Linked DNA regions of Rattus norvegicus. The main gene of each other region encodes a partner of the protein of the gene in region 2 in a complex. Links are inferred from orthologs where the notes say so. Each region holds a gene or a part of one and is shown on either strand. Other genes may lie near its edges.

The links. The genes of interacting proteins can lie anywhere in the genome.
Region 1: the proteins of Crebbp (region 2) and Ppara are in contact, whole or in part, in a crystal structure (PDB 9IWL), measured with the Homo sapiens proteins. The link is inferred for Rattus norvegicus from reciprocal best matches to the Homo sapiens genes CREBBP and PPARA. Residues at the interface, in NP_004371.2 of Homo sapiens: Asp62, Ala63, Ala64, Lys66, His67, Lys68, Gln69, Leu70, Ser71, Leu73, Leu74, Arg75; in NP_001001928.1 of Homo sapiens: Val284, Thr285, Thr288, Glu289, Lys292, Phe297, Leu302, Asn303, Gln305, Val306, Thr307, Leu309, Lys310, His457, Pro458, Leu459, Glu462, Ile463.
Region 3: the proteins of Crebbp (region 2) and Irf3 are in contact, whole or in part, in a crystal structure (PDB 5JEM), measured with the Homo sapiens proteins. The link is inferred for Rattus norvegicus from reciprocal best matches to the Homo sapiens genes CREBBP and IRF3. Residues at the interface, in NP_004371.2 of Homo sapiens: Leu2070, Thr2073, Leu2074, Lys2075, Ser2076, Ser2079, Gln2081, Gln2082, Gln2084, Gln2085, Val2086, Asn2088, Ile2089, Leu2090, Asn2093, Gln2095, Leu2096, Ala2099, Phe2100, Gln2103; in NP_001562.1 of Homo sapiens: Pro198, Gly199, Glu200, Glu201, Trp202, Glu203, Ser221, Leu322, Ile326, Leu329, Ile330, Thr333, Thr370, Cys371, Leu372, Ala374, Leu375, Glu377, Met378, Ala379, Val381, Gly382, Gly383, Ala384.

Annotation. Positions count from the first base shown.
Region 1 is NC_086025.1:118,711,138-118,715,406, forward strand, and holds the start of Ppara (peroxisome proliferator-activated receptor alpha), read left to right. Parts: upstream 1-1,469; 5' UTR 1,470-1,720; intron 1,721-2,413; 5' UTR 2,414-2,500; intron 2,501-4,269. UniProt on the Homo sapiens protein: Ligand-activated transcription factor. Key regulator of lipid metabolism. Activated by the endogenous ligand 1-palmitoyl-2-oleoyl-sn-glycerol-3-phosphocholine (16:0/18:1-GPC). Activated by oleylethanolamide, a naturally occurring lipid that regulates satiety.
Region 2 is NC_086028.1:11,964,340-11,966,552, reverse strand, and holds part of Crebbp (histone lysine acetyltransferase CREBBP), read right to left. Parts: coding exon 1,032-2,213; 3' UTR 1-1,031. UniProt on the Homo sapiens protein: Acetylates histones, giving a specific tag for transcriptional activation. Mediates acetylation of histone H3 at 'Lys-18' and 'Lys-27' (H3K18ac and H3K27ac, respectively).
Region 3 is NC_086019.1:104,615,316-104,619,407, reverse strand, and holds the start of Irf3 (interferon regulatory factor 3), read right to left. Parts: upstream 2,801-4,092; 5' UTR 2,699-2,800; intron 2,397-2,698; exon of another isoform or gene 2,359-2,396; coding exon of another isoform or gene 2,258-2,358; intron 2,023-2,257; exon of another isoform or gene 1,970-2,022; coding exon of another isoform or gene 1,936-1,969; coding exon 1,771-1,935; intron 612-1,770; coding exon 440-611; intron 349-439; coding exon 275-348; intron 124-274; coding exon 1-123. Other genes in the region: Bcl2l12 (bcl-2-like protein 12), read left to right, coding at 3,718-3,824, 4,009-4,092.

The DNA.
Region 1 (4,269 bases), on a different chromosome or scaffold from region 2:
TGTTCTGTGGGTGTCTGGCAGGTGGGGCAAAGTTCGCCACAGGTATGAGGCTGATCAGCAAAGGTGGGTTTTAAAGACGTTCCTGAATGTGCCTGTAGGGTCTGGTTCCAGTTCCCAGGGTGAAGAGATGTGCGCTGAAAGTTTCCTTTCCCTAGTAGGCTTTCCTGGTCGCTCATCGCCACAAATAGCATAGTGGCAGGCCCAGCGTGAGGACAGACAGGAGGGCTGGCATAGCACACATTTCATTCCCAAAGGAGCAGCGTCCTGAGGCGTTGGCACCCCGGGGGCTATGTGCATTCCGTGATCAGAGATCCAGGGGTGAAGCAAACAAAGCGGTTGCTCCCAGTCGCAGCCTGCCCCCTGCGCTGTCAGTTGGCAGAGTCCCAGTGCCTGAGCTGGACATAGTCAGCCCCTCAACTTCCCCCTTCCCCCAGCGTACACAGAGGGGCCGCAGCCCGGGGCGGGGCAGAGGCGGAGGGTCGAAGCGGCCGCGCCTCCCCGCGACCGTCCTCGATGCCCTTCAGCCTCTGCCTTCCCCGCCCGCCACACCCACCCTGGCACCTCCGACACCTGTTGCCGCGTGCCCCAGCTCGCTCTTCCTTTCTCCCCATTTCGCATCCTGGGGCTCTGAAGATCAGATCCCGCCTGCCCGCCCGCCACCCCACGAAGTCCCGGGACTCGGGGCACGCGCTCCACGATCTAGACCAGTTCACCGAGGGCACCCGGTGGGAAGCTCTACCAGACCCGCAGCCTTGAACTTCAGTTCTGGCCGGTGCGCGGGGCTGGGAGCAGAAAGGCGCGCTCGCCCAGGCGCGCCCTTCCCACAGGGCTGTCTCGCCCGTCGGGTGACCTTGGGCAGTCCCTTCACCTAGCCAGCCTCAGTTTACCAACAGATGCCCGAGCCCCGAGGCACTAAATGGGCATCGAGGAGAACTGCCCAGGGCCTCTTAGGCCCCGCCCTCACAGCAGCGGCCAATCAGATGCTGCCGTCCGGGGGGTGTGTCTCGTTCTGAACCGCGGCCCGGGCCTAGAGGGCGGGGTTTCCGGGGCGGTCACCTCGCCGCGGGACCCCGCAGGGGACGTCCGAGGGGCGGCGCGTGTCGTGGGGGCGCGGCTGGCACGGGCGCGCGTAGGCGGTGCCGGGCAGGGGCCCCGGACGCTGCGGCCCCACGACAGGGGTGACGGGGGCGGAGACAGCCGCTCGAGCCCCTCCTGGCGCCGCCTACCCGGGCGGGCTGGCCCTGCGGACCCGCAGGCGGAGCGCAGCCTCAGGTGCCCAGGGGCGGGAGGGCACGCGCGAGGACGGGAGCCAGGCGTCCCCCGTCCCGGGACAGTGAGGTGGGTGGACAGGGAGGGGAGGGGCTCGGTGGCGCATGCGCGTGGACCAGGGGCGCGGGTCTGGAGACCCACAGCCACTGGCGAGGGCACACGCTAGGAAGGGCACACGCGTGCGACTTTCGGGGCCCCTGGAACTGTCCGCTACTTCGAGTCCCCTTGAGCGCCGTGTGCCGGCTCTGAACATTGGCGTTCGCAGCTGTTTTGTGGGCTGGAGGGTTCGTGGAGTCCTGGAACTGAAGCGACGCTGGGTCCTCTGGTTGTCCCCTTGAGGGGAGGGCACACGAGCGGGGACATCGGGGCGCTCCCTTCCCACAGCGTGGTGCATTTGGGCGTAACTCACCGGGAGGCGTTTCCTGAGACCCTCGGGGATCTTAGAGGCGAGGTAACTCGAGGCCCCGGGACAGACTGATTCTGGGGTCACTGAGTCTAGCCACTGCTGGGGATCTGGAGGAACACCGGTGGGTTCAGCCGACTCGCTTTGAACACCGGTTTCCTCATTGAGGCTGACCTTAGTGGGGCGGTGTGAACAGGCCCCAGCAGTACGGTAGAGACGATGCCAAAGCTACCCCTATGTCTCTGCCCTCCAGAGCCCAGTGCCACAGCCGGTCCTGTGTGGGGCCAGCTTTAGTCTCTACTCTGTGCAGTGCCTGCGCGGCTGACCTGCTATGGATAAAGGGAGCCGGGAGTGTCTGTGTGTTAGTCGGGGAGGGTGATTCTGCCCCAGTACCTCTCCAACTAGCCTGGAATAACTGCACCTCTCCTTTCCCAAACTTTTTTTTTCTCGGAGAGAATGTTAGGATTCTAAGGAAAATCCACAGTGATAAATAATGTCTTTGGAGGGGGGGGCACTCTGCCACTGGGGTGCTCCCCCAACCCCAGCCCACTCCCTTCCTCTTAGGAAAGGCCTCTCCTGTCCTAGCTCTTCCTGGGGGAGGAGCACAGAACTTTCTTGGGCGACCCTGGACACTGCGGTGGTTGCAGGCAACAGGGTCACAGTGACTTTCCCAAGGTGGTGGAGAGTTGGGGGGGATCCAGAGAACATATTGTAACTGGTTCCTTCCTTAACGTTCTATAGCCAAGACTGAAGTTCAAGGCCCTGCCTTCCCTGTGAACTGACATTTGTGACTGGTCAAGCTCAGGACACAAGACGTTGTCATCACAGGTAAGAGGGGTTGACGGACGGCTTTCAGTCTGGAATATTGTAAACGCTGTCATAAGTTGTACTTCAGACTAGCAACAGGTGTAGTAGCTATTTTGTGGTGAAATAGTAAATGTCTTCTCAGGGAAGCCAGGTAAATGGGTGGTCCACATTTCAGTACTGATGGAATGTGTTTTTTTCCTGGGAACTTCATTTCTTTGCGGCTTCAGTGTAGTTTAGAAAGAGGTGTTATTGCATCTGGCTATGAACTGACTCGGAAGACTGTCTCTTGGCTGTCTTCATATCAATTCGGCTAAGTAGTTGGTTCGTTTCATCACTAGCTAGTGCAGGGATGGTCCCCAAGAAACAGCCAGATAAACATTACTTGGTGACCATATGAAAACCCAGAGTCGGTGGGCCTATGATACATGAACTGACCGTAGAAAGCAAAGGGTCTCTTTTCCAACACTTAAACATGTATGGAAACACACCAGACTCATAGAGTTTGTTAGGAGGGCAGGAGCCTGCTACGTAGCCTGTGCTAGTCTGGAAGTTGCTGTGTAGCAAAGGCTAGCCTTGAACTCTTTATATTCCTACCTCAGCCTCCCAAGTACTGAAGGCTGAAGTAGTTCTGTTTAACTGATGTTTGTCAAGCCTAGAAACAGAGTTCTAAAAAGTGTGTGTGTGTGTGTGTGTGTATGTGTGTGTACATGTGTGTATGAGTGTATATGTGTGTATGTGTCAATGTGTGTATGTGTTTGTATGTGTGTGTTTGTGTCAAGGTGTGTATGTGTATTGTGTGTCTCAGTATATATGTGTATATGCATGTGTCTATGTGTATGTATGTATGTAAGGGGTGGGAAGAGAATGAGAGAAGAGAAAGCATGTTTCTAATTTGTTTTATTAACTATTAAGTTGAGAAAAATATTTTCATGTGAATGTGAGAAACAACATATTTTTGCCTCAAGTGTGTGTCTAATAACTCACTAGGTTTACATACGGTATTTAGCCAATGCATATATAGACATATGTTAGTATATAATTCATTCATTTGATTCATGCTTATTGCATAGCTTCCTGGGGCAGGGGCCACTATGCCATTCCTAAACAAGAGAGCTATGAACTTGCTATGAGACTGATTTCCATGCTGGAATTAGAGGAAACTTGAAGCCAGGTGGTGGTGGTGCATGCCCTTAATCCCAGCACTCCAGAGGCAGAGGCAGGCGGATTTCTGAGTTTGAGGCCAGCCTGGTCTACAGAGCGAGTTAGTTCCCAGACAACCAGAGCTACACCAAGAAACCCTGTCTTGGGGGTGGGGAGAAGAAGAAGAAAGAAATGAACGTGAGGGCTAGGGCTGTGGTTCCATTGGTGGAGGGCTTGCCAATCATGCACAAGGCCCTTGGTTTGATCCTCAGCCCCTCATAAACCAGGTGCAGCACAGTCCATGCCCGTGATCCCGGCACTGTGGAGACAGAGGCAGGAGAGACAAAAGCATATGATACCTTTGAGGCTATGCCAGGCTACGTGAGAACCTTGTCTCAAAAACAAATCAATAGCCAGGCATGGTGACACATTCTTTTAATCCTTGTACTCCGGAGGCAGATGCAGAAGCAGGAGGTTCTCTGTGAGTTCAAGGCCAGTTTGGTCTACACAGAGAGCTTGGGGCTGGCCAATGAGACCCTCTCTAAAAAACAAAACAAAACAAAACAAAACAAAAATAAAGCAAACAAGCAAACAAAAAAAGAGAGAAATTCATAACTATCCTCCTGATGGTTAATAGATGAAGAAACTGA
Region 2 (2,213 bases):
GGTACGTTACCATTCTATACAGTGATTGAATCTTCTTGAATTTTCTTATTTATAGTAATTATAGCGCTTGCATGATTTACACTAGAATTGCTTTTCCTCATTTCAAGTTTCACATAGAAGAAAGAAAAGAATGCTTCTTCTCTATTAACATTAGCATGGTCTAAGAGAGTGATCATCCCTATTTTTGTCTAAAACCAGTTTTATCAGAGAAACAAAGCAACAATTTCTACATCTGCAAGACAAGAGGCTGGCTTAAGCCAGCATGTATAGATAGATGTGTGTGGGTGTGTACATGTGTGCACGCCGGAGTCAATTCCTATCGTCCAGGGGTAATACTTGGAGATGCCCACAGAGTTCACTATAGAAAAAAATCTTCCCGCAACATCAGCTCGTTATCGGGACACATTATAAGATGCATTATTTCTGGAACCAGTTTCTGAGTATTATTTTTCTTCTCACTTTTAAACATAAATGTTTAAGTCTTGAAAATACAAATAAAAAATATGAATATAATGAACTTGTTTTTCCCGTTAAAAAAAGGCATGAGTCACCAGCAATGACGACAAAAAGAATCCAAACAACCCCCCACCCCCCAAAAACAAAACAGAAAAAAAAGAGAAAAAAAGCTGAGAGAAAGAGAGAGAGAGAGACACCAGATATTTAAATCAACTGGTTTTTAACAAAAAATATATTCTTTGTATTGTTTCTTTAAACATCAATCTGCCCTTCCATGCTTGGGAGTCACAGTCCCATCTAGGCTTAATAAAAAGAGCCCAAATGTCTGGATTTTCAGTACAAAAAGTCCAAAAACATGAAAGGGGGGGGGGGGGGGGAAGAAAAACAACAAAACAAAAACCAAAAAAAAAAAAAAAAAAAACCCCCCCAAAAAAAACCCCAAAAAAAACCAAAAAAGAAAAAAAACCAAAAAAAAAAAAAAAAAAAAAAAAAAAGAGGGAGAAAAAAAAAAAAAAAAGACCCAAAAAATCCCCAAAACAAAAACAAAAAAACAAACACCCAATGCTCTCATAATGCTACAAGCCCTCCACAAACTTTTCTAGCGTGTCTCCCGTGGTATCACCAACCAGGGACAGTTCACTGGACAGCGCGCTCCTGTTGGGGGTATTCAGCTGGGGGAGCATTGCACTCTGTTCAGGGTTCCCCAGGTGTCCCTGATCCATGGAGCTGGCCATGGTGACTGCAAGTCCAGGGTGAGGGGAACCAGTCTGGGGTGAAACATGGTGTGGTGAAGGCTGGGGCTGTATCCGTGGTGACGGGCTGGAATGTGGAGGTTGGGATTGGGGCCGTGGAGACTGCACAGGGGCTGGAGACCGCACCTGGTTACTAAGGGATGTGGCGATCTGCTGGCCAGGGAGATGTGAAGCCTGTGGCTGTCCTGAGAGCATGTGCTGCTGGGGGCTCATGGGGTTCGGCTGGCCTGGTGACCCAATTTGTTGCTTCATCTGCTGCTGCTGCAGAATCCGCTGCTGCAGGGCCTGCTGGATATTAGGGGTGCTGTCTGCCCCTAGCCCAGGCTGCCCCATCTGGCCAAGTTGTCCCATTGGAGCAGCCATCTGGCCCATGGAGCTGCCCTGGATGGGGAGGTGCTGTTGCATGCGTTGCTGCTGCATGGCTGGGGCGTAGCCTCCAGGTCCTTGTGGCTGCTGGAACTGGCTGTGTCCTGCCATGCCCCCGGCCAAGCTGGCACTGCTTTGTTGCTGTTGCTGTTGCTGCTGCTGCTGCTGCTGCTGCTGCTGCTGCTGTTGGTGCTGTAGCAGCTGTCTTCTCACCATTTCTCGGTACTGCGGATTCATGTTCGCCATGTTGGGGTTGTGTCCCGGGTTCATGATATTCAGAGCCTGACCCTGGGGGTTCAGGCCTCCCATTGCCTGCTGTGGTGGAGGCACACCAGGCCGTGGCACACCAGCTTGCATTGCGTTCAGGTTTTGCAGGCTGGGCTGCTGGTGCATGCCAGGCTGGGGCTGCATACCAGGCTGGGATTGAAGTCCGGGCTGGGGCTGCATGCCAGGCTGATTGGCCACATACTTGGCTGTGCGCTGTTTGATGAAAGCTGCCATTAGCTGTGGGTTTGATTTGAGGATGTTCAGCACCTGCTGCTGCTGCTGAGGAGAGCTGGGTGACTTTAGGGTCCGAAGCAGGTCTTGCAGGGCACTTGGCGAGATGCTCCTTGGTGGCTGTACATTGGGCATCCGTGG
Region 3 (4,092 bases), on a different chromosome or scaffold from region 2:
GAAGTTGTTTACAATGGGGCTTAGTGGTGGTTGAGAAGGATCAGAAGCAATAGGCAGGTCTGAGGACCCCTCATCTGGGAGGGGTCCCAAGGCCATGTGATCGAGTAATTCCAAGAGGTCTTCCTGGAGGAGGAAGGAGCTAGTCAACAGCTTCAGCTGAGCCAGAGGGTAGCAGATTGGTGGGAATGGAGGTCCAGGGGTAAGGGCTGGGGTGGGAAGAAGGTGAGGCCTAATGGATGGGGCAAGGCTGGGCACAAGACTAGTGTCTCCTCACCTGGTGATCAGACAGACTGCTTTTGCCATTGGTGTCAGGGGAGGTGTCCAGATGTACAAAGTCCCTTGCTCCTCCTGTCCAGAGTGGAAGTGAGCAGAGTAAGTGGCAGAGATCTTCCAGACCCCACGGTTCCTGTGACCCCCAAGCCAGCCTTGTTACACACACCTGGAGTCACAAACTCATACACTTTATGAGGGTCAAAAGGGTCCTTGCTCCGGTCCTCAGCTAATCGCAACACTTCTTTCCGGTTCAGGGCTGACCGGAAATTCCTCTTCCAGGTTGACAGGTCTGGCTTATCCTTCCCTGGGGTGTAGGCACCACTGGCTTCCGCCCAGGCCTGATACATCAGTGATTCCAGGACAGTAGGGAAGACTACTTAGACACCTCCCACCATATTCCATACATTTCTGGTTCCTGACCTAAGTTCTCACATTCATAGAGCCCCTAGGACTTCTGTCCCGACCTCATCCTTATCTATATTTTCCACACTTTAGAAAAATATTTTTGAATATGAGACAGGGTCTCACACATTATAACAAAGGTAGGCTCCAAGTTTCGACCCTCTAGCTGCCACTTCCAGAGTGCTGGGATTACAAACGTATGCCACACATCCACCTTCAAGCCTTTTGATTTTGGTTTGTTTTTTTTTTTTAGGTTTATTTATTATAGACGAGTACACGTAGCTGTCCTCAGATGTGCCAGAAAAGGGCATCAGATCTCATTACAGATGGTTGTGAGACACCATGTGGTTGCTGGGATCTGAACTCAGGACCTCTGGAAGAGCAGTCAGTGCTCCCAACCGCTGAGCCATCTCTCCAACCCAAGCCTTTTGTTTTTTAAGCCAGTATTCTAGGACCTACTTGGTACCTCACCCCACATTCTGTTACTACCATGCTGATCTGGTAGCTAATAACCCCATCCTGAGGGCTGTTCCAATTCTTAAGATTTAAGGGATCTAAAATCAAGAGCCCACCCCCCCCCCGAGATTTCCCATCCTCTAATAAAAGAGCTGTTCTCAACTATCCGAATACAGATCCTCATGATGTAGTGAGTCCCCAGCCCCAAATTTTTTTCATTGCTACTTCAAAACTGTAATTTTGCTGTTATAAATCTTTTTTTTTTTTTTTTTTTTCCGGAGCTGGGGACCGAACCCAGGGCCTTGCTAGGGCCTTGCTCCTGCTAGGCAAGCGCTCTACCACTGAGCTAAATCCCAACCCCAGCTGTTATAAATCTTAATGTGAATATCTGTTTTCCAATGAAAGGCCCGTTCAACCCCCAAAGGGGTTGCGTCCCACAGATTGAGAACCATTGCTCCAGAACAGTTTTTTAGAGACACAACCTGGCTTTCAGAATTCTATTCCTGGAATCTGCCAATCAATTCCGGGCTGTCCCTCCAAGTCTATCCCACCTAATTAGCAAGACCCAGCCCTGTCTAGTCACGCCCATAAATGCCTCTGAAGTCTCAACGCCCCCCCCCGCCCCCTCCCCCCCAGCACCTGGAAGATGCCAAAGTCAGCCATCTGTGCGTCCTGTCGTAAGCCATGCTTCCATGGGATCCTGAACTTTGTACGGCTCTCGTCCAGCCAGGCCACACCTTTCAGCTGTCCCAGGTCCAGCTGAGACACCAGCCAAGGCAAAATCAGCGGTTTCGGGGTTCCCATGATCCAGCCTGCGCATACAGTGCAGTTCCTGAGCCTGTATGTCAAGGGGCAAATGCACTCAAACCTCTCCGACCCGATACAGCACAGGCCTTCCTTCACCCTGTTTTCCTGTGTACAAACGGGAAACTCCTTCCCACCTTTCCAATTCCAACGGGACCGCCTATCCTACCCCACAGTTTTCCATAGGTTCTTTCCCTTTTCTAAATGTAAACCCCTATTACTCAAAGCAAGTACCCCATTTCCAGGGTGGAGTCCTCTTTCCCTGTCTTTAAAGAATCATGACTGTTCTCACACCCACCTCACCCTTGCAGAAAACCCTTACTCATTTCCAGAGTCTTCTCCCAGCTGCTGTCGCTTCTTCTGCTTTGTCTTTTCTACATTGTTTTTATGGATGTTTTGAGACAGGGTCTTAGTATGGAGCATAGGCTGTCCTCGAACTTGCTATGTAGCCATGATTGGTCTTCAACTCACTGTGTGGCCCAGGCTGGCCTCGAATGCACTCTGTAACCCAAGCTACCCTCAAACTTATTCAGTAGCTCAGGCTGGTCTTCAACTCGCTTAACCCATGCTGGTTTGGAGCTCATTCTGTGGTTCAGCCTGGCCTGGAGCTCACTGGCCTCGAACTTGCAGCAATCTTTACTGCCTCCAGTCTGGATGCTGAGACTGCAGGCTTCCGTCTACAACGCGTAACCATTCTGGTTTTCGGTAGCCGAGCTCCTGTGCCCTGAGGCCGCCACCCTCCCGGTTCTTCCGCGTTACCTACCAGGGGAGGAATTGCGCGCTCGTGGGGCGCGGGTGTCAGCACTGGTTTTGGGGCTCCCAAACAGTAGTTGAGACTCGCAGCCACGCAACCCCCTTCTTTGTCAACTAAGCTTCCGAGCGTTGGGACTTTCCTTTCTAATGGTATTTTGAGATAAAAAAAAAATTTCTCATCATTTACTTTAAGAAAAGTCAGAAAACCTAGGAGCACACTCCGACTGAACCGGCCTAACTCCCTCAATGCCCTTTTTTGGCCTTCCGCCTACAGGCATGCTGGGAACGCCATATGCAAATGATGCAACACAGCGCTCCGCCCCCTCGACGTTGGGGCGGTTACCGTGTCGGCCCAGTGCGCAGGCGCGGGAAAGTTGAACTTCGGAAGTAAAGTTTGTAGAAATTGAGTGAAAGCGTGTGTGCGCCAGTACGACTGAGGCAGAACCCCGATCCAGGTGAGCGGGGTACCAGGGAGGGAGCTAGGTTGCAGGAGAGGTCACAGCCAGTCCTGTCTCTCTGACTTCCAAGCACGGAGGTCTCCTGGTGCCCGCCAGAGGTCATTGGAACTACATCTCCCAGCAGGCTGCTCGGTGAAAAAGAGGGGAAACCCGGCTAGCGTTTGCCGCAAAGCGTACTAGGATTAGTAGTTCCCTATTCTCTAGGGTCTTCGAGACTCCTTCAGCACTCAGGGCTCCCTTCCTGCTCCTGCATGTAAGAGTCCAAGCACTCAGTTACGTCCTTTCTTTCTTTCTTTCTTTTTTTTTTTCTTTTTTTTCGGAGCTGGGGACCGAACCCAGGGCCTTGCGCTTGCTAGGCAAGCGCTCTACCACTGAGCTAAATCCCCAACCCCTACGTCCTTTCTTAGATTCAATAATTCAGGCCCTTTCTCCTCAACGGAATCAACTGCCCCACTGGCCCTTAAGCCACCTTTTCCTTGGAGTAAGGTGTCCTCTTCATTCAGTGATTGAATGAAGTTTGAGTTATCACTCCATTTGGGTACATTCTCTGTCTTCTGCTTCAGGTACCTCCATGGCCGGCTCTGAAGAGTTGGGTCTCCAAGAGGACACACTGAAGGTTCTGACTGCCTTCCTTAGGCGCGGTGAAACTGCTGGGTCCCCTGTCCCAACTCCACCCAGGTGAGATACTATTCCACTCCCCCAGGGCCAGCCTTTGATCAGAAGATCTTCCTGAGTCTAGTGGTCTACTCCCTTCATACCTAACCCCATATGTCTGTCCCAAGCTTCAAGAATCTTCCACGAGAGGACGAAGGGATTGTTTGCTCAGAACCCTCTGGGATAACTCTGAGGTTCTTGCCCCTAGGAGCCCTGCCCAAGAAGAGACAACAGATTTCCTGAGCCGACTCCGAAGATGCCTCCCTTGTCCCCTGGGGCGAGAAGCTCCTCC